Linked DNA regions of Elephas maximus indicus. The protein of the gene in region 4 interacts with the protein of the main gene of each other region in a pairwise test. Links are inferred from orthologs where the notes say so. Each region holds a gene or a part of one and is shown on either strand. Other genes may lie near its edges. The genes, in order: EEIG1, GPKOW, MTA1 and SH3GL1.

The links.
Region 1: the proteins of SH3GL1 (region 4) and EEIG1 interact in binary tests that used the Homo sapiens proteins (3 or more experiments, as listed by UniProt). The two-hybrid records come from large-scale screens. The link is inferred for Elephas maximus indicus from reciprocal best matches to the Homo sapiens genes SH3GL1 and EEIG1.
Region 2: the proteins of SH3GL1 (region 4) and GPKOW interact in binary tests that used the Homo sapiens proteins (3 or more experiments, as listed by UniProt). The two-hybrid records come from large-scale screens. The link is inferred for Elephas maximus indicus from reciprocal best matches to the Homo sapiens genes SH3GL1 and GPKOW.
Region 3: the proteins of SH3GL1 (region 4) and MTA1 interact in binary tests that used the Homo sapiens proteins (3 or more experiments, as listed by UniProt). The two-hybrid records come from large-scale screens. The link is inferred for Elephas maximus indicus from reciprocal best matches to the Homo sapiens genes SH3GL1 and MTA1.

What each region holds. Positions count from the first base shown.
Region 1 is NC_064827.1:79,076,782-79,084,465, forward strand, and holds the start of EEIG1 (protein FAM102A), read right to left. Parts: upstream 3,006-7,684; 5' UTR 3,002-3,005; coding exon 2,856-3,001; intron 1-2,855. UniProt on the Homo sapiens protein: Key component of TNFSF11/RANKL- and TNF-induced osteoclastogenesis pathways, thereby mediates bone resorption in pathological bone loss conditions.
Region 2 is NC_064846.1:122,468,686-122,475,725, reverse strand, and holds the start of GPKOW (G-patch domain and KOW motifs-containing protein), read right to left. Parts: upstream 3,008-7,040; 5' UTR 2,930-3,007; coding exon 2,754-2,929; intron 2,034-2,753; coding exon 1,876-2,033; intron 1,782-1,875; coding exon 1,657-1,781; intron 1-1,656. UniProt on the Homo sapiens protein: RNA-binding protein involved in pre-mRNA splicing. As a component of the minor spliceosome, involved in the splicing of U12-type introns in pre-mRNAs.
Region 3 is NC_064828.1:119,710,086-119,717,445, reverse strand, and holds the start of MTA1 (metastasis-associated protein MTA1), read right to left. Parts: upstream 3,016-7,360; 5' UTR 2,979-3,015; coding exon 2,951-2,978; intron 1-2,950. UniProt on the Homo sapiens protein: Transcriptional coregulator which can act as both a transcriptional corepressor and coactivator. Acts as a component of the histone deacetylase NuRD complex which participates in the remodeling of chromatin.
Region 4 is NC_064821.1:7,416,078-7,423,830, reverse strand, and holds the start of SH3GL1 (endophilin-A2), read left to right. Parts: upstream 1-4,743; 5' UTR 4,744-4,957; coding exon 4,958-5,002; intron 5,003-5,287; exon of another isoform or gene 5,288-7,753. Other genes in the region: CHAF1A (chromatin assembly factor 1 subunit A), read right to left, coding at 683-959. UniProt on the Homo sapiens protein: Implicated in endocytosis. May recruit other proteins to membranes with high curvature.

The DNA.
Region 1 (7,684 bases), on a different chromosome or scaffold from region 4:
CTATAGGTAGGGGAACAGAGGCTCCAGGGCCTAGGAGATCAGGCAAAAACTCAGTCTGGAGCTTGATATTAATTCCTTGGTGGTATCCAAGACCCTGCCCCTCAACACACATGCAGGCCCCCTGCAGAATCTACCTGGTCACTCTAAGATACGGAAGGAGCTGGGGCCTGGGACTTACTACCCATAGTAACCTCAACTGCTGCAGTACTTTACCTGGTATGTGGTATATATGGTATCCCCTGCTTTTCAAAAGTTTGCTTTATGCCACTTTGCTTTTACAAAAGACCTACGTTAGTACGTGTTTTTGCTAATGAAAAGAAATCCAAAGAGGATTTTCACTTTTACAAGAAAAGGTGAAAAGCGGAAATAGCGTTCAGCATTTGTTTTGTACCAGCACACACCCAGAGCAGTGAGAGTGGGGTTGCCAAGCTCCTTCTCCAGGAACTACACTCAGCATCTCATCATCAAGCTGCCATAGCTTTGAACTGTGTCTGCAAGCCTCTCTGTTTTGTCTCAATTTATTTTGTGCATCTGTTAGCAAGATGTGTCCAAAGGTATCAGAAAAGCCTAAGAGAGATCATAAGGGTTTTATGTGTTACTTGGTATGATTTGGCAGGTTATTTTTTGGGTCTTGGGAACATTCAAAAAATTTTCTCATATAAATCATCGGTAATTGCTTCTTCACTTTACACCATTTTGGCTTACGAAAGATTTCATAGAACTGCTCTACTTTCAGTTAGTGGAGGAAACCTGTATTATCCACTCCCCATCACAAGCCTAGGGAGGGTCTGATTTCCCCATTTTACAGAAAAGGAGACTGAGACTCAGAGGCAGAACAGGGTAGTGGTTAAAAGCACACCCTGAGTTTGAATGAATCTGGGCTCCAACATATCAACTCAGGCAAGTCGCTCCCTCTCAGAGCCTCGGTGTCCATTTCTGTAAAATGAGGATAATAATCTCACTCTCCCCTCCCCACCTCTGCTCCATGGCACAGTCACGGGGTTAAATGAGAAGTACTTATAAAATGGGGAACACAGCACCCATAAATGCTGGCTCTTAGAATCAGAGAGGCTAGGTAATTTGCCCAAGGTCACACAGCCAGTGAATGGCAGACTATAGGCCCTAGCTCCGGACACAGCCTTAGGCCCGTTTGGGTGGCTGCAGACAGCCGGCTTCCCAAGCAACTGAGGACGGTCCCTGCCCCCACTGAGAAGGGCAGGCTGTCCGAATTCCTCAGATAAGTGGCTCCCAGCAGAGCGGGGAGCCTCCAGGCCTCAGCAGCGGCCAGAGCACACAGAAAGGGCGTCCTATCCTGCCCACACAGAGATTCCCAAACTTGGAGTAGGCTACACACTTCTTTCCCTTCCTCCAGCAGTGCATTCAACCTCCGGATTCATCCAACAGGTCCCCAAACAGGCCAAGTTAGATTGTCAACTGCCACCTGCAAGGTTCCTGGCAAGCCACTTCTTCCTCCCTCTGGGCCTTGGTTTCCAGGTCTACAGCACACACCCTCACCCTTGAACAGTGAGCCAGCTCTGACTAACTGAACTCACAAGGAAGCCTGAAGGAGCAAAGGGACATACCAGGGAAGAGAACTAGCATGTCCCAGGCATTGGACCAGGCTCTGCATTGCATTATCTTTCACTGAAACTTCAGAGCTCTCTGAGAAGGGACTTGTATTAGGCCTGTTTTCCAGAAGAGGAAACTGAGGCCCAGAGAGTGATTGAACCAGGATTTGAACTCCCATCTGTTAGATTCCAAGGGTCTCTCCTGAGCAGGCCAGAACTAGGTTGGGGGGGAGGGGACCCAACCAGCTGGGCATAGTCCAGGAACTCTGTCACCTTCAGCAATAAGCTGGGCAGCTGGACCTGCCAGGATGGGGAGGGACACAAAACCCAACTGGAAAGAGCCTCTTTCAGAGCAGACAGCAGCCTCCTGTACAAGGATATTTGCAATGCAAAGTAGCCCAGCTCTAGCCAGAAAGGGACTCAGTGGGGACTCAAACCCAGTGCCATCCGGTGGATTCCGACTCATAGCGGCTCTATAGGACAGAGCAGACCTGCCCCATAGAGTTTCCAGGGAGCGCCTGGCGGATTCGAACTGCCGTCCCTTTGGTTAGCAGCTGTAGCATTTAACCACTACGCCACATTAAACCAAAAAAAAAAAAAAAAAAAAAACCCACTGCCATCGAGTCGATTCCAACTCATAGCGGCCCTATAAGGCAGAATAGAACTGCCGCATAGAGTTTCCAAGGAGCACCTGGCAGATTCGAACTGCTGACCTTTTGGTTAGCAGCCATAACACCTAACCACTATGCCACTATGCCACATTGGGAGGGCCAAAATCCAGTCACCTCCCTCCAGCCACCCAAGGCCTTCCCAGCCACTGGGGAGTGCTGGGAAACCTGCGGCTGGTGAAGGCTCTAAATCATATGACATCTCAAGTGGCCAGCTGGGGTGCAAGGGCAAGTGGGGGGGCTGTTCCAGGTGGCATCCCTCCCCCTACCATCCTCTGAAGGCACAAACTCCATTGGGCTCATTGGGCAAGTCTGTAGAATAGGTCTACTGAGGGCTGCATGCAGGGCCCCAAGCGCGGGCTGAAAGAATAGACCCCCCAGATATCCAGCCGGTCACCTGCAGCCCGGCACCCTGCCCGCTTCTTCAGGCCCAAGCCTCCCAATCGGCCAGTCCAGCATTGTGCAATCCCTTGAAGACACACATACACAATCCACAGGACTCTCCCTGGCCCCCAAAGGGGCCCTTTCACTCTTGCCAAGTGGATGTGTTTCGCTCATCACTCCCCTCCCCTCCAGGCACCAGGCTTCCACAGGGGCCACAACCACCCCCAGCTCCTACCTTGACGACAAGCTGACAAAATCCCCGCCATCCAGCAGCCGGACCTTGCAGAAGAGGACCCCGTTCACGAAGGGGACCGCAGTCAGCTCTTCCAGGGTAAAAGTGGTTTGGAATTTGAATTTCTTCTTTTTCATCAAGAAAGCCATGGGCGAGTTCCCTGAGTCTGAAGCCCCGAAGGCCAAGGAAAAAAAGGGGGCAGAAATCCCCAGGATTCCTTTCCCTACACCACACCCCCTCCTCAAAACACTAGAGCAGGATCCCGCCCAAAAGGTGGCGGAGGCGGCAGAACGGGTGGGGGTCTGAGTGTCCAGTCCAGTTCGCGGGTCAGCTGGCTTCACCCGCGGGGGGCCGGAGCTCGGAGGGGCTCGGAGCGGCCGGGGGCTTCACCGGCATGTAAACAGCGGGGCATGGCCCAGTAGGCAAGAGCAGGGGTGACTGGCGGTGCGCGAGCGGCCGCGCTGGCGGGCAGCATCCCGAGCCGCGGTCCCCGGGGAGCTCACGCCGCGCGACCAGGCGCGGCGGGCGGACCGGTGAGACTGAAAGCGACTGGGAGACCGGCGAGGCTGAGGGCTGAGGGCGGCCCCGCCCCCGCCCCGTTGGCGGCCGGGGGAGGCACCCTCGCCGCGCACACGCCCCCGCACCTGGATGCCAGGCGGCCTGCGCAGGTGAGTGCAGGGGTAAGCTGAGAGCACCCCCAGGGGGCGGCCGGGAGCTCGGGGGAGGGCCTCTCCAGGAGACACGTCGGGGGCGCTCCGGACCGGGGTCTCCGGTCCGGAGTCCGCGCTCAGGCCGGGAACGTCCGGTCGTCAGCCTCCTCCGGGCGGGCCCCGGGCCCGGCCCTGGGCAGCGGGGACGCTGCCTCCTACTCGGTCCTGGATCCCGCGCTGGGGGCCCTGGCGGAGCTGAGGCACCTCTCCGGCCCGGCCGGTGGCGCTCACCTCGCCCGCCGCCTCTGCCCAGCACCCCGTGAGCAGCAGCGCTGCCGCCTGCGCCCCCGACGTCGCTGCCGCTGCCCGCCCAAGCCCGACGCTGCGCGGCGCCGCTGCGAGAATGCCGAGGCCCTGCGCGGCCGCCCGCGGAGCCGCCGCTGAGCGCGGGAGGGGCGGGGCGCCGGCGGCCCAGCCTGCCCGTGATTGGGCGGCCCGGCGGGGCGGGAGCGGAGCAGCGTCCCTGTTTCCGATTGGTGGATGGCGGCGTGAGGCGGGACTCGCGGGAGACAGAGGCGGCTAAGAGCCTTGTGATTGGTGTGCTGCACAGCTGGGTCCGCCTCCTCCGCTGGGGCGGGGCGGAGGGAAAAGAAGAGGGGCCCCGGGAAGGCTGTGGGAGGTCGCGGGGCGGGGAGCTGGGTCTGCTTGGGCAGGGAGGAAAGCGCGAGTAGAAGAAAAGAAGAAACAATGAGGAGGAGAAACGGTATGAAAACTATCGCTGGAACGGCCTTCCAGTATTCCTGCAGATTTCAGGCCCAGAAGATAGTCCCATTTTTTCAGAAAACTGACTTGCAGAGGGGTAACCGGGACTGGACCCAAGTCTTTCGTCTCCAAATCTTAACTTTAGAGCACTGAAAAGTGTCTGAATAGGCTTCACCGAGGTGACACAACCTTGTGACCCAGCTTCTTTCATCCCAAGCTGTTATCCAAGCCTTTTACTGTCGTTTAGTTTCTTGCCTAGTTATAGCTTGTTTCCCTGACTGGATTACCTAGTTGCTCTGGAGGCAGGGACTGCTTCCAGAGCCTCGTATCTCCTGACACAAAGAAGGCACTCGACGTACTGTATAGTTCATTCATGCAGGTCCCAAATGTTTAGCGGGTAATCTGCTCTGAACCAGGCTCTGGGACTTAACATGAGCGCCATGGGCCTGCCCTCTCCAGGCTCAAGATAGAGAAACAGATGAGGACACAGGCAGTTGTAAATCTGATGGATAAGAGCTGTAATACTGGACATGCAGTAGTCTAGAAAGAAGTATAGCCACAGTGCTCCTTGGAAGGGAGGATGGTGAGATTTCATCTCATGTACTTCGCACATGTTATCAGAAGGGACCAGTTCTTGGAGAAGGACGTCATGCTTGGTAAAGTATTGGGTCAGCGAAAAAGGGGAAGACCCTCGAGAAGATGGACTGACAGTGGATGCAACAATGGGCTCAAACATAGCAACGATTGTGAGGATGGTGCAGGACAGGACAGTGTTTCTGTTGTACATAGGGTTGCTATGAGTCAGAACCCACTCGAAGGCACCTAACAACAACAGGGGAGCTCAAAGGAGGGACCTGAGGGGGAGACAGGGTGCTCAGAGAGAAGGCTTCTCACATAAGGTGATGCAGGCCACCTGCAGGATGCATGTAGGATCCAGGCAGAGAGCTGCATGTACAGAGGTCTGGTGGCCAGAGAGAACGGAGTGCCTACAGAAAGTTCCAAGTCCCAAATGGCTGCATTGTGATTTTAGAGAGAGGCAAGATATGAGACTAGAAAAGCCAGCAGCAGCCGTATCCTACAGAGCCCTTGTAGACCAGAGTGAAGAGTTTAGATTTTCCCAAGGGCACTGGGGGGCTACTAACAGGTTTTAAGCAGGTCAGTAACATGTCAGATTTGCTTTTCATTGTAAGAAGCTTTCTCTGGCTATAGGTAGTGTGGAGAGGAGATGGGAAACAGATACGGGAGTGAGGGACCAGATGTGGTGATCCAGGCAAGAGATGATGATAGAATTTCAGTACTGGGGGGAGAACGGGACAATGGATCTGAGAAGCATTCAGGAGGCAGATTAGGCTGAATTTAGGGATGAGTTAGGTCTGGACATGTAACCAAGGACTCAAGTTTCTAATTTCTTCCCATGTTCCCCTTTCAGCTTTCCTAGGCATAAAATGAGTGGTGATCCGTGCTTCTCTCAGTTTCTCCCATCATTTAGAAAACACAACCCAATGGGAGAAAAATGATAATAGCAACTCCCAGTGCTACTATTTATTCCCATTTACAGAAAGGGAAATTGACGCCTGAAGAGTTTAAATCACTTCACTAAGGTCTTGACCCTGGAGTGCAGTTTCTAGAGTGCTAAGCTTTTTTTTTTTAAGCTGTGCGCCCACTCTTACCCTCTCTGAGCCTGCTCCATGGGGGTAGAGCCTGTGGCTTCTCACCCCAGGGAAGATTTCAGAAGAAGGAACCAGCCAACGATGTCCTGAGGCCTGACTGATTCCTGGGCTGTGACCATGAATAACCTCTGGCTGCCCCAACAGGAAGCAGAGTGGGCCTGACTACCAGACTTAGCACGGGTTGGGCATTTATCTCCCTGCAGCCTGTGGGCTGGGAACCCAGGAAGTTTCTCTTGCCTTCGCTTCTCAGTGAGGGAGGAGTGGTGCCAGGGCAAGATGCTGGATTTGGGGTGAGACAGGCCTGAGTTAGAATTCTGGCTCTGCTGCAATGGGCAGTGTAGCTTTGGTTTGGAATATTGAGGCTCGGAGGGGGGTCATTATGGTATGATTGGGACCATTTCCCCTGGAGCCAGTAGACCTGGGTTCTAAGTCCAGCTGGCACACTATTGACTGCCTATGTCACACAAACTTTATCCATCTCTAAACCATAGTTAACCCTGTAAAATGGGAATAACAATACTACTCTTTCTAGAGTTTTGTGAGGACTTCGGGATGCTGTTCCTGTGAAAAGCTCAGGCCTGGAGGGACACAGGAATCTGAGCAGGAAACTCCAGCCCAGCACTTCCACTTCCCCCAGCAGCCCAAATTCCCAAGCCTGGCATGTCCTACCTTCTTGAGACGCTAGACAGACATAAGGGCTCCTTTAGCCTTGACCATGATTTTGAATAATTATTACCATTGCTCAACAAGGGGTCAGCTCTTCCTCTGAAACATGTCCTCAGAAATGTGCCCCTCTTCTCTCCCTTTTGCTCTGTCTCCACTCTGGTCTGAGCCACCAGAGTCTCCTGCTGGGATGGCTGTAACAGCCTCCTTACCTGTTTGCCTCCTTCTGTTTTTGCCCCCTGACAATCCAGTCTCTGCACAGCAGCCACAGCGAGGTGAGAGTGCCATGGAAGGGACGGTTGGTGTCAGAATTGGTAAAAAGGGGAGAATGAGGAAGCATGTGTGACCTCTGCCTATAGGAATCAGCCTAGGGCTGTTGATCTTTTTTATTTTTATTTTTTATTGTACTTTAGATGAAGGTTTACAGAACACAGTAGTTTCTCATCAAACAATTAGTACACACATTGTTCTGTGACATTGGTTAACAACCCCACAACATATCCACACTCTCCCTTCTCAGCCCTGGGATCCCTATTACCAGCTTTCCTGTTCCCTCCTGCCTTCCAGTCCCTGCGCCAGGGCTGGTGCACCCCTTCAGTCTTGTTTTGTTCCATGGGCTTATTCAGTCTTTGGCTGAAGGGTGAGCCTCAGGGGTGGCCACATTACTAAGCTGAAAGTGTGTCCGGGGGCCGTACTCTCAGGGTTTCTCCAGTCTCTGTCAGGCCAGCAAGTCTGGTCTTTCTTTTTGAGTTAGAATTTTGTTCTACATTTTTCTCCAGCTCTGCCAGGGACCCTTTATTGTGATCCCTGTCAGAGCAATCAGTGGTGGTAGCTGGGCACCATCTAGTTGTACTGGACTCAGTCTGGCGGAGACCATGGTAGATGTGGTCCGTTAGTCCTTTGGATTAATCTTTCCCTTGTGTCTTTAGTTTTCTTCATTCTTCCTTGCTCCCGAAGGGATGAGACCAGTGAAGTATCCTAGATGGCCGCTCATAGGCTTTTAAGACCCCAGATGCTTCTCACCAAAGTAGAATATAGAACATATTCTTTATAAACTATTTTATGCCATTTGAGCCAGATGTTCCCT
Region 2 (7,040 bases), on a different chromosome or scaffold from region 4:
CATATGAGGTAGTGATGAGTTATATGAAAAAAGATTAAGCAAGTGAAAGGTATGCAGAAGGATGGAGAAGGGAGTATCACTGAGAAATTGACATTTAAGCAGAGACCAGAAGGAGAGAAGGGAGGGAGCCATGAGGATATGGAAGGAAGAGGGCTCCAATCAGAGAGAGCAGTAAGAGGAAGGGCTCTGAGGCAAGACCAGCCTTGGTGTGCATGAAGTCTCATGAAATCAACATGACTGCAACAGAGATGAACAGGGAGGAGGGTGAGAGGGGCAGTAAGAGACTATCAGGAGTGCTGGGCAGAACTTTTGAGTATGGTGGGAGCCACAAGCAGGTTTTGAGAAGAGGAACCATGAGGAAGTTACTGCAGTCCTCCAGATGAGAGATGATGGGGGCTCAGACCAGGGTGGTGGTAGTAGTGATGGTGAGAAGTGGTCATATTCTGGATGTATTTTGAAAAGGGAGATGAGGATTTTGCTGGTGGATTGTATATGGGGTATAAAATGAAGAAGAGATTCAAGGATGACTCCAAGGATGACTGAGCAAGAGGAAGGATGAAGTTGTGAACAATTGATATGTGGAAGGCTGTGGGAGGAGATTTGTAGGAGGGAAAATTAGGGAAATGTGGCCAAAGCTGGAAGAGAATGAACAGTGAAGTGGGGGTGTTGTTGTTGTTTGTTTTTAAGAGCAATGAAACCAGAACACATTTGAAGGCTGATGAGAAAAGTTCAGTAGAAAGGGTAGTCTGGGGCTGTAAGAGAACTAGGCCCCCAAAAGGCACTGCAAAACATTTGTGAATGAAGAGGTAAAAAGTGGGGCCCATAGGGACAAAAGACAGACTTGGTTACTTCTGTGGACACACCCCTTACCTTTGCTGTTATCACCTCCCACTATCACCCCTCTCGATGCTTTGCATTTGCCATTAGCTCCAGGTCTACTACAAGTTGCCTCCCTGATGGACACAAACCATGCTGATTTCCTGACACCCGGCCTTTGGCCAGGCCATTGCTCCCACTAGGAGTACTCACCCTGCTCTTCCCCCTCTCAGTAAATCTCATCTATCCTTCCAGGCCTCACTCTGATCTAAGTCTCCATCATCTCTCGCCTGGACTATTGCAATAATCACCTCACTGGTCCACTTGCTTCTACCTTCACATACAAGTCTCTTCTGTTCACAGAAGCCAGAAGGTCCCTGTCAAGCTGTAAGTCAGGTCACCTTCCTCCTCTGCTAGGAGCCCTCCTATGGCTCTCACCTCACACACAGTAAAGCCGAAGTCCTTACCATGGCCCACAAGGCACTACATGGTCTAGCCTCCACTACCTTTCTGATCTCATCTATTACCCTCCCCTCCTTCATTCCATTCCAGCCAGCACGGTCTCCTTGGTGTTCCTCAAACACCCCAGGCAGAGTCTAACCTCAGGGCCTTTGTTTTTCCTGCTCCTTCTCCTCTACATCTCACTCAGTTAGCCCAAGAATCCATGTACTTTTTCCAAACCCCAGTATTTGGATTAAAAAAATGATTCTAAAAAGGATAAAAGGAGCAGGGGATAGGCAGCAGGCTTCTAATTCACACAGACTTTTCCTGCAGGGAGGCAAGCCTGGTAGATAGGGCGAAGAGGGGCTGGCGCAGGAGAGAGGAAAGGGGCCAGCTCACTGTCTCAGCCTGGGGTTCACTGTCTGCCCCTTCCCCACTGGGGATGCATCCTTTCTGGATCATGGGGATAGCGAGCGTGGGGTCGACACCTTCATTCTCTCTCTCCTCCAGAGACTTCTTGGATTCTAAGGAAGAACAGGAGGGAGCAATGAGGTACCACTCTACCCTTCCTCCCCTTCTGCCATTATTGGGGCAGGGTGAGGGGTAGAGGTCACTTACCCTCAATGAGTTCCTTCACAGCCTGGGACAGCAGCACCCCATCCACTAAGGTCTCAGCATCTGTGGATGGTCCAGGGGTCTGGGTCAGTAGCTGCCTGTGATGTCCATTCTGGATCAAAGGGATGACAAGTTCCTTAGGGGCTTCTGAGGGCTTCACACTGATGCCAACATAGAGGAGTGAGATTGGGAGAGTTAACGTGGTCAGTGGGTTCTGAGCCACATCCCTTTATCCAGAGAAAATACAACAGTCAAACTCATCCCCTGCCCCATGGAACATGCCCTCCATTCTCTTGAATGATTCTCCTGTTATGTCTCTGCTGGTATCTTCTCTGGATTCTTCCTCCTTCTCCAACTCTTAAATGGTTCCTTCAGAGAATCAGTTCTGGACTTTCTGTTCATTCCAAGACCCACTTCCATGGCTTCCACAGTGGCTCACCTTCGCCTTCTTCTAGAAGCCCCTCTCTCAGGTCCCTCAGGCTCCCCTTTCCGTATTAAGCTGATAAATGGCCTCCCTCAACCTGAATCTGCGGCTCTATCCCGTTCCCCATACCGAAGAAGCCCCATCGCTTCAGTTGAGACACTAGGGGATCCTGTCATCCTCCTCTCCTTTTTCTCTCTTAGAACGCACACACCTTAGGGTCCCCAAGTCCTAAAGACACTCCCTGTCACTAATACATCCCCTCTTCTCAATTCCCACGCTATCAGGCCCAATTTCCCCACCCCTCCTACAAACTCGCGCCTTCTCGCTTCCACGAATTTCCTCAGGCTGTGCTTCAGGCTTTCAAGGCCACCTTCACTATGACAAGCAACTCAGATACCGCCATCCCTCCTGAGCCCACCGCACCGATTTCCAGGGGGTGAGGGAACCAGCGCTTCACCTCTGCAGCTCCCTTCCCTCCACAGTCTTCAAGAAATCCTTCTCCTCCGGGGCGGCCCTCGCTCTGTCTCCTAGGTCCACCACCCGCCTCCGGGAGGACGTGCGACTAAAGCCAAAAGAAATTGGGGCGGTAGAGACCGCTGCCGGCCGCGAAACACCCTCTTCAGCGTCCGCCATCTTGCCCCGCTTGCCAGGTCGCGGGGCTGTTTGCCAGGAAGTTCAGTCTGGCTCTGTTCGTTGAGTGCCGGCCGAACAGCGCAAGAACTACCTTTCCCATAAAACACTGCGACCCCGGCGACGGCGGATATGGGGGCCATAACAACTAATGTCGCTCTTTTGGCACTTCATATGAAGGCGCCAAGACAAGCATCCCGGGAAATGTAGTTCTTCAGGGGATGGGTGTGCTGGACGAAAACAACAACAACACACCTTCGACTCAGAGCGACCTATACGGACGTGCTGGAAGGGCGATTCATTTCTAACCCACTGGCAGTTATTAATTCATTCATGTAGGCATATGACAATATTTACTGAGCACCTTGCCCTACTGATGTGGAAAGTGTAGATAAAATAAATCACTAAGAAAAAAATCACCATTTACAACAACATGTAAGAGAGAGAAAAAAAAAACCTAGGAATAAACCTAACCAGGTTCGTGAAGGACTTACACAATGAAAATTATTAAAAAAAAAAAAAACTAAAAGATTAAGACTTAAATAAATGGAAAGATGTTCCATGTTCTTGGGGTGGAAGACTTAATATTGTTAAGATGTCAATACTATCCGAAGTGATCTATAAATTCAACTGAATCCCGACCGAAATTCCAACAGTCTTCTTTACAGAAACAGAAAAATTCACCCCTTTACTTCACGTGGAATAGCAAGAGGCCCCGAATAGTTAAAGGAATGTTGAAAGAGAAGAACAGAGTAGGAGGACTCACGCTTCATGATTTTAAAACATATTATAAAGCTGCAATAATCAAAACTTCCTGGGACTGATATAACAATAGACACAGAGACCAATGGAATAGAATTGAGAGTCCAGAAATACACCCACAAGTCTATGGTCAACTGATTTTTGACAGAGGTGCTAAGTCCATTTCATGGGAAAAGAAGAGTCTCTTCAATAAATGGTGTTAGGGAAAACTGGATTTCCACATGCAGAAAAATGAAACAGGATCCATGCCTCACACTATATGCACACACAAAAATTCAAAATGGTTTAAGGACCTAATGTACAAAATGTTGTCATTGTTAGGTGCTGTGGAGTCGTTCCAACTCATAGCGACCCTATGCACAACAGAACGAAACACTGCCTGGTCCTGAGCCATCCTTACAATCGTTGTTAGGCTTGAGCCCATTGTTGCAGCCACTGTGTCAATCCACCTTGTTGAGGGTCTTCCTCTTTTCCACTGACCCTGCACCTTGCCAAGCATGATATCCTTCTCCAGAGACTGATCCCTCCTGACATGTCCAAAGTATGTAAGACACAGTCTCGCCATCCTTGCTTCTAAGGAGCATTCTGGTTGTACTTCTTCCAAGACAGATTTGTACGTTCTTCTGGCAGTCCATGGTGTATTCAATATTCTTCGCCAACACCACAATTCAAAAGTGTCAATTCTTCTTCGGTCTTCCTTATTCATTGTCCTGCTTTCACATGCATACGATGCAATTGAAACTACCGAGGCTTGAGTCAGGCGCACCTTAGATTTCAAGGTGAGATCTTTGCTCTTCAGCACTTTAAAGAAGTCCTTTGCAGCAGATTTACCCAATGCAATGTGTCTTTTGATTTCTTGACTGCTGCTTCCATGGCTGTTGATTGTGGATCCAAGTAAAATGAAATCATTGACAACTTCAATCTTTTCTCCGTTTATCATGATGTTGCTCATTGGTCCAGTTGTGAGGATTTTTTTTTTTTTTTTTTGCTGAGGTGCAATCCATACTGAAGGCTGTGGTCTTTGATCTTCATTAGTAAGTGCTTCAAGTCCTCTTCACTTTCAGCAAGCAAGGTTGTGTCATCTGTGTAACGCAGGTTGTTAATGAGCCTTCAATCCTGATGCCCCGTTCTTCTTCATATAGTCCAGCTTCTCGTATTATTTGCTCAGCATACAGATTGAATAGGTATGGTGAAAGAATACAACCCTGGCGCACACCTTCCCTGACTTTAAACCATGCAGTATCCCCTTATTCTGTCTGAACAACTGCCTCTTGATCTATGTAAAGGTTCCTCATGAGCACAACTAAGTGTTCTGGAATTCCCATTCTTCACAATGTTATCCATAATTTGTTATGATCCACACAGTCGAATGCTTTTGCATAGTCAATAAAACACAGGTAAACATTCTTCTGGTATTCTCTGCTTTTAGCCAGGATCCATCTGACATCAGCAATGATATCCCCGGTTCCACGTCCTCTTCTGAAACCGGCCTGATTTTCTGGCAGTTCCCTGTCGATATACTGCTGCAGCCATTTTTGAAGACAAAGTAAAGTATTATAATGACATGTGCAAAGAGCTGAAGATGGAAAACCAAAAGGGACAAACACGCTTGGTGTTTCTCAAGCTGAAAGAAGTGAAGGAAAAATTAAAGCCTCGAGTTGCGATAGTGAAGGATTCTATGGCGAAAATATTAAATGACACAGGAAGCATCAAAAGAAGATGGAAGGAATACACACAGTCATTATACCAAAGGAATTAGTTGATGTTCAACTTTCAAGAGGTAGCATATGATCAGGAACTGATGGTACTGAAGGAAGAAGTCCAAGCTGCACTGAGGGCATTGGTGAAAACAAGGCTCCAGGAATTGATGGAATATCAGCTGAGATGTTTCAGCAAATGGATGCAGCACTGGAGATGCTCACTGATCTATGCCAAGAAATATGGAAGACAGTTTCCTGGCCAACTGACTGGAAGAGATCCGTATTTACGCCTACTCTCAAGAAAGGTGATCCAACCAAATGTGGAAATTGTAGAACAATATCATTAATACCACATGCAAGCAAAAAATGTACAATATAAAACCATAAAATTCTTAGAAGAAAAAGTAGGGGCAACTCTGTCAGGCCTAGCTTTTAACAATGGATTATTTAATATAATAACAAAAGCACAAACAGCAAAAGACAAAACGAATAAATGGGACAAATAAATTAAAAACTTTTGTTCATCAAAAGACTTTACCAAGTAGCCTCTGGGGTGTTAAAAGCCTGTAAGCGGCCATCTAAGATACTCCACTGGTCCCACCCCATCTGGAGCAAGGGAGAATGAAGAAAACCAAAGACACAAGAGAAAAGTTTAGTGCAAATGACTAATAGACCACAGCTACCACAGCCTCCACCAGACTGAGTCCAGCACAACTAGACAGTGCCTGGCTACCACCACTGACTGCTCTGACAGGGATCACAAAAGAGGGTCCCGGACAGAGCTGAGAAAAATGTAGAACAAAATTCTAGCTCACAGAAAGACCAGACTTACTGGTCTGACAGAGACTGGAGGAACCCCAAGAGTATGGCCCCTGGATACCCTTTTAGCTCAGTACCGAAGTCACTCCTGAGGTTCATCCTTCAGTCAAAGAGCAGACAGGTCTATAGCGCCAACAATAACACATGTGAGGAACGTGCTTCATAGTTCAATCATGTATATGAAAATAATTGGCACAGCAGCCCAAAAGCAAAGATGAGAAGGCAGGAAGGGACAGGAAAACTAGACAAATGGAAACAGTGAAGCTGGGGTGGAGAAAGGGACAGTGTTGACACATTGTGGGGTTGGCAATCAATGTCACAAAACAATTTGTGAGTTGACTGTTTAATGAGAAATGAATTTGCTCTGTAAACTTTTGCTGAAATTACAATAAAAAAAGGAGCAGGGAATGAAAAAAAAAGAATCGTTGGTGCTGAGGAAAGATGTCCAAGCTGCACTGAAAGCACTGGTGAAAAACAAAGCTTCAGGAATTGAAGGAATACCAATTGAGATGTTTCAAAAAACTGATGCTGTCCTAGAAGTACTCACTTGTCTATGCCAAGAAATTTGGAAGACAGCTATCTGGCCAATTGACTGGAAGAAAACCATGTTTATGCATATTCTGAAGAAAGGTGATTCAACAGAAAGTGGAACTTATCAAACAATATCATTAATACCACATGCAAGTAAATCTGCTGAGGATCATTCAAATGCAATACATGAAGGGAACTGCCAGAAATTCAAGCCGGATTCAGAAGAAGACTCGGAATGAGGGATATCATCACTGATGTCAGATGGATCTTGGCTGAAAGCAGAGAATACCAGAAAGATGTTT
Region 3 (7,360 bases), on a different chromosome or scaffold from region 4:
GCACCTTGGGGCCCAGTCCACAAGCATGGTTCTCTGGGAGCTGCCAAGCAGGCTCGGGAGGGATCAGCAGTTTTGGAGTGCCATTTGAACGTGGGGCAGTGACAAGGCGGACCTCAGGGCACCCTTGGGTGTGGGACAACCACTGGACTGACTCGGGGGGCTCCTGGGAGGGTAGGGTATGGGACCCAGGCCCCTCATCCAGGCCCTGAGGGCCACAGGGCCTTCATCAGGCTTCAGCCGGACACCCCAGGGGCCTGGCATGGCCACCGAGAGTGAGGCACAGCACATCTGTGGCACCATAGCATCCTGAGGGCATGGCCGGGGCGCAGTGCTCCATATTAAGGGATAGGAACCCTAACCTACCGGCTTTGTCGTCTACAAATAAAGGGAAAAAAAAGCCCCTTACTCAGGGAGGGCCCAATCATCTCATGGCTGGGGGATCCACGCCCACCCCCATGGCACTGCCCGGTCACTCTGCAAGCCCACACCAGGTGCTAGGCCAGGGTCAGACATAGGGATGGGAGGCCCCAACCAGGACTTGCTGGGAAACCTGTGCTGTATCCTAACCAGGGCTGGGTCCCTACAACCTGGGTAAGTGAGGGTCGGGCAGGCCTCCCTGGAAGAGGTCTCCCTAGAGGTGAGAAAGGTCCGCACACAACCAGACACAGCAGGAGGGCAGACAGAGCTCTCGTACAAGTGGGGGAAACTGAGGCCTGGGGGGGCCTGAGGTGTGGACCAGGTTGGGCTGACCTGAGAGGCCACATTCTGCAGGTGGCCTCTCCAGCTGGCCTGGGTGGGGGCACATCCCATGGACCCACACTGTGAAGCCTGCACAGGGCCAACTCCCCTAGGCTGTCCGTTCCAGGGCCTTCTGCACCCTGGAAGCACCAGCGCCACCACAGCCCCAGGCCAAAGGGCCGGCCCTCGGCGAGCCGTAGGGCCAGCTCAGGCCACGAGGGCTGTAGAAGCTGCAGGGCAGGGGCTCTGGGCCAGGGGCACCTGCTCAGTGGTGAAGGGGGCCAGCATCCAACGGCCCTGGGGTGACCTCACGGCCCTGATTCCACCCTCTCCAGCCCAGCACAAGGGAATCCGAACCCGGCCTCTGCCCTGGCCTTCCACCCCCAGCCACCATGTCATTCATTCACTCAACAAGGAGACCTTAAATCAGGGGCTAGAGACTGGGAACCTGAGCTGCTGAGAAGACCACTCTGCAGAAGGCAGCCTGGGCCCTGTGAGTGGAATGGAAATTGAGCCCAGGACCATTGGGCAGCTGGTAGTACTGGCAGGGCCCAATGGGCTCTGGGGCACGACAAGTGGAGCTACCCCAGAGGAGGGAGAGGGGCACCTGCAGGGGCAGTGAGGAGCTGGTCAGGACACAGGAGGACCCCAGCTGGTGGGGAGTAAGGGAGCCACAAATGGTGCTCCCCCAAAGCCACGCATTCAGGGGCAATGGCACCCATCTCTGGGGGGTGGTGCGGCTGGTGGGAGGGTACCTGCTCTGGTGACACACAGCACCTCTCCAGGGAGAAGACAGATGGGGGTGAGGACGGCAGGCCAGCAACCAGCCCAAGGTCAGAGCCCGCCTGGCTGGACCAGGGGGACCCCCAAACGCCTGTCTCTGCCAGAGTCACCAGCAGCAGAGCCATCGCGAAAGGGAGAAAGCGTCCTGGGCACCCAGGGTCAGAGTGACCAGGTGGGGGCAGGCCAGTGGGGGGCAGTGAGGACAGACGGAACATCCCCTTTTCACCCCCCACCCCAGCACTGCCTAGGCCTGACACACCTCCACAGCAGGGCACCACACCCAGCCCCTCACAGTGAGGAGGCTGAGGGACTGGGGGGTGGAGAGCTGCAGGTCTGGGGGTGATGCTGTACCCGAGGGTCCAAGCAGGGAAGAGCATGGGCCTGAGCATGGCTACTCAGTTCCCTGTAAAAGAGTGAGCAGAGGAACCCCCAGGATCCCACAGAGCCCCTACAACCGAGGGCAAGGCCAGGCTAGGGACCTCCTGGCACTGAACCACAGGACAGGCAGATCTGGGGGCTGTACCCCCTGACCCTGTGCCCATTCCCCAATCCTTGCAAAGTGTCTCCATGACGGGCTAGCGTTAGTGGGAGCCAGGGAAAAGTTTGGGGCAACTCAGAGACAAGCTCTGGGTGACCGCGTGCTATGACGGCTCTGCAAGGGGACACTGCTGTGGGGCCCCCACGCAAGCACGCAGCCCAAGCAACTCTGGGTGTCCCGGGGGCCACTCTATGCTGTGCCAGGGGCTCCGAGGGAGGAATGCTGGCCTTGGGGCGCATGAGCACCCTATCCCTCGAGAGGGACCTGTTCCCATCCCAGCATATGGGCCAACCCGCACAGCCCCAGGGGGACCCCAAAACTCCTGCTCCCAGGGTGCCTACGAGGAGCCTCCAAGGCCACGTGCTCCAGAGGGGCTCCACAGCCCCTGGCCCCAGGCCCCAGGCCCCAGCTGAAGCCCCTGGACCCAGGTGCCTCCGGAGATGCCCCGCCACCAGCCCGCGCCTCCGCGCGCCTCCTCCGCAGGGGCCCCACAGACCACCCACTCGGCCCCCAACAGGTGGGCAGAGCCCCCGCCTCCCGCCGGCTCAGCGCGCCGCCCGGCCTCCGGGGGCCATTTCGGGCCGGGGCGACATGCCGGGGCGACGCGCGCGAGGGCCAGGCCACTCCGAAGAGAAGATGGAGGGGCAGGGCAGGGGTGCCGGGCGCCGGGGGGCGGGCGTTGGGGTGCCGGGCGTTCGGGTGCCGGGCGGCGGGGTGCGGCCGGCGGGCCTGCGTGGGGGAGGGGCGGGGTGGCGCCGGGGTCCCCGGCGGGCGGGGTGGGGGGCCGAGGCGGGGGCCGGCATCGGGGCGCAGGGCCGGGGCGGCGGCGGGGGCGCGGGGGCGCGGGCGGCGCGGGGATAAAGGCGGCGGCGGGCCCGGGCGCGGCCTTACCTCCGACCCTGTACATGTTGGCGGCCATGTCCGCGCCGGCGGCGGCGGGAGGCCGGCGGGCGGGCGGGCGGGCGGGCGGGAGGCGGGAGGCGGGCGGGCGGCCGGGAAATGGAGGCTCGGTGCGGGGGCGCGGGCGGGGGCCGCGGGCGGTTTAAAGGGGCCGCGCTGTGCCGCCGCCGCCGCCGCCGCCGCCACCGCCGCCGCCGCCGCCGCCGAGGCCGCGCAGGGACGGGAGGCCGGCGCGGGCGGGAGAGGAAGAGGAGGAGCGGCCGGCGGCGGCGCGGCGCGGGGAGGGGCCTCGGGCGCCACCGCCCACCGCGCGGGCCGTTATCCGACCCCGCGCGCCGCGCCCCCGCCCCTCAGCCGGCGCCCCCACCCCTCGCCCGGCGCCCCCGCCCCTCGCCCGGCGCCCCCACCCCTCAGCCGGCTCCCCCGCCTCTCAGCCGGCTCCCCCACCTCTCATGCCGGGCCCCTGCCCCTCAGCCGGCGCCCCCACCTCTCAACCGGCTCCCCCACCTCTCATCCCGGGCCCCCACCCCTCAGCCGGCTCCCCCACCTCTCATCCCGGGCCCCCGCCCCTCAGCCGGCGCCCCCACCTCTCAGCCGGTGTCCCCACCCCTCAGGCTGCTTCCCGTTCCTGTGCCCTGTGGTGTTCCCTGGACATCCTAGACGGCCAGCAGCCCCATCTTAATGTGGACAGTGCCTGACTGTCTTGGGCCTCTGTTTCCTCTTCTGTCAGGCCCCCCGGTGGGCTTGTTCTGAGGGTCCAGGGCAGTTAGCTTGGGCCTCTGGCGCAGCATAATAAGGGGTAAATGTTAGCGGTGAGGATACTGCCTCTCACTCACTCCACAGATCCCAGCTGAGGGCTCCCTGTCTCAGGAGCAGGGAATAGCAGTGGGTAAGGCCCTGAGGTCACTCTCCAGAAGGCCCTGCCTGAGGCCAGGGTCCAGCAGCCTCACCTGTGGAAGGCCTCATTGACTCACGAGGGCCAAAGTGGGGCTGGGAGGTGTGACGCCCAGTGAACAGGGAAGGCAGGAGAGTCCAGGCCAGGAGAGACGATCCCACTGTCCACAGAGAGGCACCCAGCTTTTGCCCCAAGGCTGGTCACAATTTGTAACCGTGTATTTGTTTTTGTGCTTACTTGCTAAGGTTTGGGGAGAATAGAGAATCCCGTGGCCCAGATACCACCAGCAGTGAGAAGCATGAGATGGCCAAGGCAGCAGCTCAGACTGGGCGAGTCCCAGCCCGGACCAGCATCAGCGTCAGAGAGGGATAAAGAGAGTTAGGAGTGGCTCCAGGTGGGCAGCTGGAGCAACAAGTGTTATTACCCCATTCACCCAGCTGTGTGAGGGCTTTGGGAGCAGGAACATCCTTATGGGACATCCAATGGAGGCCTTGGGGCGGCGGGGGTACTCAGGAGGGAGCTGGTTCAGGAAGGGATGGGAGGGACATGGTCAAGGGCCGTGGTCGTGCTAAGATCCCAAGGACAGAGCGGGGATGAGAAGGGGCCTGGGGCAGAGCGCTGAGGGCCCCCACCACGGAAAGTTCTGTACAGAAGGAGCCAGTGAGGTGCGAAGGGAGCCAGAGTGGGCTGGAATGACAGCCAGGAAGGGGTTCCCAAGGAGGGAGCTGGTCAAAGCATCATGTGCCATGGAGTGGCCAGGCAAACCAGAAAGGGGAACACCACAGTGAGCAATGGGGCTTCATCGATGCCTTGGCTACAAGGGCTGTCTTGGTGGCTCGAGGGGGCCAGACTGGACCCAGTCAGGGGGGGCTAGTAGGGATTGCAGGACAACCAGTTCTCCAAGAAGCATAGCTGGAAGGACAGTGGCGGGGGGAGAGGGACCCTTCCTTTCAGATACCAGGGTCGAGGTTACGTTTGGTTGTGATGGAAGGGACTAGAAAAGAAAGAGAAGCTTAGGTGCAGGAGAAGGCCAGTTGCCTCCCAACTCCTGAGGACCCCATGTGCGTCAGAGTAGAGATGAGCACCACAGGGTTTTCAAGTCTGTTACCTCTCAGAAGCGGATCGCCAGGCCTTTCCTCAACTCTGGGTGGACTCGAACCTCCAACCTTTCAGTTGGTAGGTCAGTGCATTCGCCATTTGCACAACCCAGGGACTTCACAGAAGGGGACGATAATATATAGGCAAAGTTTCCAAAACCAGTGAAAGAAGGAGTCGTCCCCTCTAGTCAGCAAAGCTGCAGCATAAAATGTCTTTCCCCTAACACCTAACAAAGTAATCAAAAGTCAGGACTAGCAAAAAAAGCGTCCAGGTGAGCTAGCGGCACAGAGGAGCAACTCATGCCATGAATGTCCAGGTGAGCTATTGGCACAGAGGAGCAACTCATGCCATGAACGAAAGGTGAGCTATTGGCACAGAGGAGCAACTCATGCCATGAACGAAAGGTGAGCTATTGGCACAGAGGAGCAACTCATGCCATGAATGTCCAGGTGAGCTATTGGCACAGAGGAGCAACTCATGCCATGAATGTCCAGGTGAGCTACTGGCACAGAGGACAACTCATGCCATGAACGAAAGGTGCCGAAGACACAGAAGATTCTAGCAAGGATTGGGAAAGTGGCTCTGGCTATGTCAGAGACTGAACTGTGTCCCTCAAAAATATGCGTCCTAAGCCCTAAACTCTATGCCTGTGGTTTGCATGAGAAAGCTGGACGATGAATATGGAAGACCGAAGAATTGACCCCTTTGAGTTGTGGTGTTGGGAAAGAATATTGAACATACATACCATGGACTGCCAAAAGAACAAACAAATCTGTCTTGGAAAAAGTATGACCCGAATACTCCTTAGAAGCAGGGATGGCGAGACTATGTCTCACATCATGCTTGATAAAAAGGAGGGTCAGTGAAAAGAGGAAGGCCCTCAATGAGATGGGCTGACACAGTGGCTGCAACAATTGGCTGAAGCTTAACAATGATGGTGAGGATGGCACAGGATTGGGCAGTGTTTCGTTCTGTTGTACATAGGGTCACTATGAGTTGGAACCAACTTGATGGCACCTAACAACAACAACATGCCTGTGATGATAATCCCATTTGGGAATGGGTTGTATTTCTTATGTTAATCAGGATTAGTGTAGTGTGTATTTTGAGTTAATCTCTTGAGATCTAAAAGAGGTTAAACAAGCATGTGAAAAGTGGAGATGGGAGAAGAGAGATGCCAAGCTACATGAAGACTGCCCAGGAGCAGAAGCTCAGAAGAGACAAGGACCTTCCTTCAGAGTTGACAGAGAAAGACTTCTCCTAGAGCCAGTACCCTGAATTCAAACTTCTAGCCTTCTAAACTGTGAGAAAATAAACTTCTGTTTGTTAAAGTTATTCATCTTTCTGTTATAATAGCAGTAGATAAGTAAGAATTTGGTTCCAGGAGAGTAGGGTGCCACTCTGATACCTAAAATGTGGAAGCGGTTTCAGAATTGAGTAATGGGTAGAGGCTGGAAAAGTTTTAACGTGACTGATAGTAAAAGCCTAGGTTGCCTTTAAGAGACCGTTGGTAGAATTATGGACATGAAAGGCAATTCTGGTGAGGGCTCGGCAGGAAGTGAGAAGAGCTATAGAGAAAGTCCCTATGAATTAGATGATACATATGGCACCAGCAACAGAATTTTGATGGAAATGTGAATGTTAAGTGTGCTTCTGATGAGGCTTTAAAAGAAAATGATGAGCATATGATGGACAATGGGGGAAGGGTGATGATTTTTATGCAGTGGCAAAGAATTTGTCTGAATTATATTCAAATGTTTGTTGGAAGGTAGAACTTGTAAATGATGAACTTAGATATATGTCTGATGAGATTTCTAAGCAAGATCTTAAAGGAGCTGCATAGTTTCTCCTTGTCACTTATAGTAAAAAAAAGAGATGGACTTAAAAATGAATGGTGCAAAATGAAAACAGAACTTAAAGACTTGGAAAATTCTGTTGTACAAGCTAAGGACATGTGTCCTGGAATGTTCACCAACGATGTGGCTACACAATCTTGTGTTAAAGAGATTAAGCCTGTGACTGATGGAGCTAACCAACTACCACAGCAGAAAACTCACTAGCTTAAACTGAAGGGGGCAGGGAAAGAACTAAAGAATGCTGTTTGCCTTTTGGAATTCTACAGGTAGGAAAAAGGCCAAAGAAGCTACATTTGTTGTCCTCCAAGAAAAGAAAAGGACCATTCCTAGATCAGCTTGGAAATCAGCATTACTGTTGGAAGGAGCACAGGAACCAAAGCCTTCTTGATTTCAAAGGATGGGGCCATGCAATCCTGGATCTCAAAGGGTGGGGCCACAACCTCCTAGGTTTCAAACAGTCAGATATTCACAAACTGAGTTCTGAAGTGTGGGGCTGCCATTAAAGTGTGCCAGGGGATACGGCTGCTGCCAAAGCTGAGGGGATGGGGCTGC
Region 4 (7,753 bases):
CTATGTGCCAAGCATTGTGCCAGGTGCTGGGACCCAATGGGGAGTTGAGCGGTGGGAGAGGCGGGCAGTCTGGTCTTCCGTGGTTCACCCCACGTTTTGGGGGGCCCGCTGTGTGCCAGACAGAAAGACCCTTCGACAAATACGGGGTGGGGGGAGAAGGCAGCTCATCATTTTGCATAGCAGGCAAGATCAGCACCGCGGGGATCTCAGCTCTCTGACACTCCCCACCACCCTGCCCTCTTACCTGGACTTGCCCTGACCCGCAGACGTGTGGTCTCGGGCCTCAGTTTCCCCACCCGACCAGAAGGTCGCTGCAAGGCTCAGGGGCCCCATAAGCACTCGGTAACTTCCAAAAGCCGGCCTTTTTGCCTCCCTGGGCCTCAGTTTCCCCACTTGGACCGGTCACCCCCCCAGAGCCCTGGAAAGACGAACTGACGCAAAAGCGCCGGAAAAACATGGTCGCGGCCGCAACAATAACGTCAAGCAGGGCGCCCTGCGGGTCACAAGGCCCTTGGTCGGGATTATAACGGCCGGCCCCACGGGCTGAGCGCCCGGCGCGGAGGAGCAGGCCCGGAGCCCGGAGGCCCGGAGCCCCCAGCCGCCGCCTCGGCCCTCACAGGCCGCGCGCCGCGCCCCCCCCTTCCCCCGGGCCCGGACCCGGACCCGGACCCGGTCCGACCACCTGCGGCGGCTCCCCTGGCGCCCGGCGCCCCGCACTCCGGCTCCTCCAGCATCGCTCCGGCGGCGGCTCGATCCCTCCTCAGGCGGGGGAGGCGGCGGAGGCGCGGGCTCCCCTCAGGCGGCCGCTGCTGCTCGCCCTCCCGCCCGCGCCGCTGCTGCCGCGGCCGCCGCGCTCGTATTTGGCGGGAACCGCGGCGACCCCCGCAGAACGCGCGCCGATTGGGCGAGGGCGCGTCACGTGATAGCCCGTCTCGGGAAGAGGGGAGCGCCGGGAACATCCTCGCGAGAGCCGTTGCCTCCATTCCTCCCATGGCTCGTCTATTGATATTCCCGCGGGCGGGGGAACTTTCTCTCGGCAGCCTGTCATTGGCTGAGAGAACATGCCCTGCGATTGGCGAAGGAAGGTGTCAAGCTTAGAGATAAGCACTGTGATTGGCTGAAGTGCGTGGGATAAGTCGGCAGGGGGGAGGGAGGGCCAGGCTTAACGTCATGACGCGAACGTGTCACGTAAGACGCCGGGTGACAGCTTGAAAAACTGCGGTTTAGAAGACGATCTGAAGTTTTGAGTTTAATACCCAACAGCAATTAATATTACAAATTACTTGTTAATGAGCAATAAAATAAAAACTGGGCAGCGCTTCAGAGGGCTTTGACATGTAGTAAATATATTCGGAGCGAATGAAATGCAAGTTTCGGGTTAAATTCTCGGGACATGCTGTTTTCTCTGCCTAAAACCCTCTTTCCGCAGCTCTTTCTAATTTGTACCTAACCTTCAGATCTCAGGTAACACCTCAGAGAAGACTTTCCCTCTCCACCCCCAACCAGATCAGGCATCTACAACACTTTTTTTTTTTTTTAAGCACTTAGAGATTCTAAGTGTCTACTAAAAAAAAAAAATTTTTATTTAATTTTCCAATTTAGGATTTCCAAGGCTATAAATCTTTACAGAAGCAGACTGCCAAATATTTCTCCCACCTTTCAGTTAGCAGCCTAAGAGCTTAACCACCGCTACCCCAGGACTTCTACATACATAGTAGGTGCTCAATAAATATCTGATTGAATAAATATCATTTGATTGACCTGTGGAGATCACGCAGGTTAAAAGCCTCACACAGAGGAGACGCTCAGTAGAGATCCTCAGTGTCAACCTGCAATTCTTAGAAATAGGTTTGCTTCAGCACTCATTTAATGTTTGAGAGAAACAGGGGTGAGGAAAGATGGGAAATTTAGCCTGAGTTTGGAAGTTTATTGCAGTAGATTGGATAATTAAATCGGTAGAACTTGTTGAGAGAGGAGCATTGAGAAATAGGAAATTGGGGAATATCATTTCAGTCAGGTCATGTCACATGACTCAGGTTTCTCCATCTGGATCATGAGGATGTTTTCCGTCCCGTCTCTAACATTCTGGCATTCTGTGATGATTTAGACCAGTGGGTCACAGCTGAGGGTGTATGTCAGAATCACATGGGAGGTTTCTCAAACTATTCATAACAGCACCACCTAGTGCATAAGGATCTTGGGAGTGAAGCCAGTACTGAAAAAACTCCTGGAGATTCTGAAGCAACCTTCTGACTAATCTAGTCCAGCATCTCTATTGAGCCATTTGGAAACTTCTAACAACCTTCCGCATTCAGAAAATCACCTAAATCTAGGAGATTTCGGCATAGAAGTTCCAAGTACTTTGTCCCTAATCACATTCTTGCTATTCTTTCCAATTCATCTCTAATCCTTTCGATAAACTCTCATTGTGTACTCTCTGTGTGTCAGGTCCCCTCCAGATGCTGGAAAAAAATTCATTAATTTATTCAACAAATATTGATTGTCATCAGGCAAGGTGCTACTACAATGCTGAATAAAACCTTTGTCCCATGCCTCCAGGAGATAGGCCCATCAGCAGGCTCTTCCGCCATTTGATGATACATGTCATGGTAGTGCCGGGTTTCTCCACCTCAGGACTGTTTACATTGGGGGGCAGATCATGCTTGGGGAGGGGGCCTATGGATTGCAGGATGTTGAGCAGCATCCCTGGGTTCTACCCACTAAATGCCAATAGCACACCCCCCCTCCCGAGTTGTAACTACCAAAAATGTCTCTAGACACTGCCAAGCGTCTCCTGGGAGGGTAGCGAATCACGTCTGGTTGAGAATCACGGTGGTAAATTGTCTTAGTTATCTAGTGCTGCTATAACAAAAATACCACAAGCAGATGGCTTTAACAAAGAGAAATTTATTCTCTCAAGTCTGAATTCAGGGTGCCAGCTCCAGGGGAAGGTTTTCTTTCTCTGTTGACTCTGGGGGAAAGTCTTTGTAATCAATCTTCCCCTGTTTTAGGAGCTTCTCATTGCAGAGAGCCGGGCCCAAAAGGACATGTCCCCCTCCTGTTGATTGGTGGTAGGAGGTCCCTCCCCTCTCTGCTCCATTCTCTCTTTTATAGCTCAAAAGGGATTGACTCAAAATACAACCTAATCCTATAGATTGATTACTGCCTCATTAACAGAATTACCTCTAATCCTGCCTCATTAACATTATAGAGGTTACGATTTACAGCACATAGGATAATAACATCAAATCACGAAATGGTGGACAGTCACACAATACTGGGAATCATGGCCTAGTCAAGTTGACACACATTTTTTTGGGACACAATACAGTCCATAACATAAGGGTATAAACATAAGGCAGTTAGCAAAGCTACCCTGTATTTACCGCATTATAACATGTCTTCAATTGAGGTATTTGGAAATGCCTAGCAATCTTCTTCCTTCAGGAAAGCACTCACACCTTTCAGAGATTTAAGCATAGAAATCACAAGCCCTTTAGCTCTAATCACTTTCTTGGGTCTCTTTCTGATTCATTTGGTCGTTCCCATTCATTATTCATGTCCAATTCATTCAACAAAAATTTTACCAACAACAATTGATAAAAACAATATCAACAAACATGTGTCAGATCTGGGAAGGGGTCCTGGAGGAGGTGCCATGCCAAGCTGCGTCCTCTTTTATGCACAAAAATCCGCTACCATTGAGTCACTTTCAATCATAGTAACCCTATAGGACAGGGTAGAACTGCCCCATAAAGTTTCCAGGGAGTCCCTGATGGATTTGAACTGCTGACCTCCTGGTTAGCAACCGTCACACTTACCACTACACCACCAAGGTTTCCTTTTATGCACAAAGGACGGGGGAAAGACTGGTGAAGAATATGCAAAAGAAAAACAATCTTAGCAAAGGCCCATAGGCATCTGGGATCATTGATTATGGAACAGGAAGAGAGTTGAGGTCAGAAAGGTTGGTGAGGCCAGATTATTCAAGTTTTGCAGATGGAGTAAGAAGTTTGGAATATATCTTGAGGGCAGTAGGTGGATTTTAAACGGGGGAATGATGCGATCTAAATTGTGTTATAGAAGCATCTTTATGGCTGCCTTGTGGGGAATGATTTTAAGGTGGGGACACCAGCAAGGAGGCTGGTGGAATGGTCTGGGCCAGGGCAAGAAGGGCAGTGGGGATGGTGGAAAGGAGGTAGACGCTAAACACAGATGTCTGACTTAGGCAAATGAATGGATGAACACAGAGCAGGGTGGGGGGAGGGGCTAAACACACAGAGGAATTGGGAATAGCCGAGGTTGTTGTTGCACGCTATGGTCAATTTCAACTCCTAGTGACGGCATGTGACAGAGTAGAACTACCCCACAGGGTTTTCTAGGCTGTAATCTTTAGGAAGAAAATCGCCAGGCCTTTCTTCCGCGGAGCTGCTGGGTGGGTTCAAACTGCCAACCTTTCCAGTTAACAGCCTAGACTTTGACCGTTACACCACCAGGGATTAACTTCTCAAACACCCCCTCTCCCCACTTCCAAGGTTTCAGTGCCTATCCTAGGAATTGAGGGACACCTCCGGGACTGCAGGGGAAGCTGCAGCTGCGACGTCCCCTCTAGGCTCGCACTGGGCCACTCGCTGGTGTGGGCGGCCTCTTCCCAAGGCTGCCCAAACGCGCGTGCGCTCCCCGGCCGACAGGGGGCGAGCGTGCGCAGAAGAGGCCGGGGGGAGCGGGGGCCGGCGCCGGAAGTGTGCGGTTGCCATGTAATATCCTGGCCGCGCGGGCGCGCGAGGGCTGAGGCGGCGCAGCGGCAGGCGCGGAGCTGGAGAGAAAGCGGCTGAGGCGGCGCCGGAGGGGCCGCTGAGGCGCGCGGGGGTCGGTGGCGCCCGGGAACTTGTCGATTAGGCGGTCGGTCCGTCCAGGTCGCTCTGTCCGGGCGGGAGGCCCGACGGCGGGAGGCAGCATGTCGGTAGCGGGGCTGAAGAAGCAGTTCTACAAGGCGAGCCAGGTGAGCGGGGACCGAGCGGGGACCGAGCGCGGAGCGACAGGCTGCCGGGAGTCCGGGGCCCAGCCCAGGCTCGGGAGGGGGCCGAGGTGGCGGCCTTGGCACGTGTCCCCCGCAGGGTGGGGGCGCCCCGGAGGAGCGGGGGGCTGCGAGGGGGCGCAGGCCCTGCCCGCCATGGGGGCTCCAGTGTCCTCGAGAAGGGTGAGCAGAGACGGAGCAGAGCTGCACCCACAGTTGCCCAGGGACGGGCACCTCTCCCCTGTGAAGTTGGGGTGGGGGGGCGCGGAGAAGGGGAAGCACTGTGCTTGGAGGCTGTCGACACCGGAACCTACTCTTGCCAGATAGCCCGGGGGGCAGGGAAAATCTGTATCTAAAGCAATTTTTAAAAAATCCTTGTGGCCGAGCTGGTCCAAACCGGAAAGGGTAAAGTTAGACTCCCAGCCCGTCCCTCTGATCCCTCTCCCCAGAGACAAGGACTGTCACGGGTTTCTTACATCTCCTTCCAAAGATGTGTCTGCACCGTTACTTTAAAAGGCACACACAATGGCTCTGGTTGTTGTTAGGTGCCACGAAGTCGATTTCGACTGAAGTTAGGCTCCCTCCCTATCCCTCAGGCATCCTGTCCGTCTCCCCAGGGACAAGGACTGTGTTACCCATTTCTTTTGTCTCCTTCCAAAGATGTGTGTGTACCTTTATTTTAAAAGGCACACACAATGGTTGTTAGGTGCCATGGAATCAAGGTTCGCCTCATAGTGACCCCACGTGACAGAGTAGAACTGCATGGTAGGGTTTCCTAGGTTGTAATCTTTGTGGGAGCAGATCGCCAGGTCTTTCTCCCGCAGAGCCTCTCAGGCGAGTTCAAACCACCGACCTTTCCCTTAGCAACCGAGTGCTTAACCGTTGTGCCACCATTCTATATGTTCTTGTATACCTTGTGTTTTTCCTTAAATGTGGCTTGGAGATTGCACTAGAGCCGGGTTTATTAGCCTCAGCACTATTGACATGTGAGGCCCTATCCTTCTCTGGGGTGGGGCCATCCTGTGTACTTTAGGGTGTTGAGCAGCATCCTGGCCTCCACCCAGTTGATGCCTGTAGCATTACTTCCAGTCACGACAACCACATATGTCTCCAGACATTGCTAGTGTCCTGCGAAGAGTGGGACAGAATCACCTTCCCTTTCTTTCTTCCTCCTTGCCAGAATGATTGCACTAACCCCCTAGAGCTTCTCGGATCTTTCTAACAGGTATATGTAGTATTCCATCCCATGGAGTATGTCATTGTTCTTCTTGTTGGGTGCTGTCAAGTTGATTCTCACTCGCAGCGACCCTGTGTGATGGAGTAGAACTGCCCCATAGGATTTTCTTGGCTATAATCTCTATCCAAGAGCCTGGTGGCACAGTGGTTAAGTGCTCGGCTGCCAGTGAAAAGTCTAGTTGGAACCACCAGCTGCTCCGCGGAAGAAAGATGTGGCAGTCTGCTTCCGTAAAGATCACAGCTGTGGAAACCCTATGGGGCAGTTCTACTCTGTCCTGTAGGGTCACTATGAGTCGGAATCAACTTGACAGCAGTGAGTTTGTTTTTGGAATCTTTATGGGAGTAGATCCCTAGGTCTTTCTCCGGTGGAGCAGCTGAGCGAGTTAGAACCACCAGCCTTTCAATTAGCGGCCAAGCGTTTAACCATTGAACAACCAGGGCTCCTCTATGGTTTATTTACCTTGTTATCTGTTCGTGGACATTTAGATTATTTTCAGTACTTTTCTGCCCCAAACAACACTATACTGAATAGCCAGTGAGTGTCTTTGTTTGTGGGTAGGATTGGATATATAGAATAAATTCCCAGAAGTAGAACGCTGAATCCAAGATTATATGCATTTTATACCTGACAGACAATATATATATTTTCGGAAAGTCCAAGCCCCGTTGTTTACGGATCTGATGAAAGCTGTGGGTAGGAAACTGGGCAAATGCAAGATTTTGTTTATTAATTTCAGAGGGTCCCTAGCTCTCTTGAAGCCTGTTGTTCCGTGCATCCCGGGTTAAGAGTCCTAGGTGTGGAGTTTGTGTGGATGGACTCCAGGGAGGGATAAGCGATGATCCTAGGAATTGTCTGAGCACCATCCACAACTTGGAGTCGTCAGAAGGAAGAAAAATGAAGGAACATAAGAAGCATTTGCTCTGGAGTTGATTCTGACTCACGGCTCCACGTATGTCAGAGTAGAACTGTGTTCCATACGGTTTTTGTTCTGTTTTTTAATTTTTATTTTGGTGAAAATATGCCCCACAGAACTTAGGCCTGTTCCTTAGTTTCTGCGTGTATAGTTCAGTAACACTCGTTACGTTCATCCCCTCTCCTTTCTCGCTGTCTCTGCCCATGTTGTTTGTCTCGCCATCACTGACTTAGACTCGCTCTCCCCTCAACTTCTCATCTGTGCTTTAGCGTGGACAGTTGGATATCATATAGATAATTCTCTAAAAGAACGCAGTGCTCGTGGTGAACATGCTCTGCTGAGTTAGCTAAATGTTTGTTGAAAGATGATTTTAGGGGATAATTTCAGTTCATAGTTTGAAAATTTCCGCTGAACGGTAGATTCAGGGGTTCCTCTCGTCTCAGAAGGTACAGTAAGTCTGGCATCTGTGAGAATTTGCAATCCTGTTCCTCATTTTCCCCCCTTTTGATTGGGATTAGTTGATCGATGCCTTGAACCAAACGTTCAGTGACGGTGGTTGCACGCCGTCTGGTTCTTCTGGTCTTGC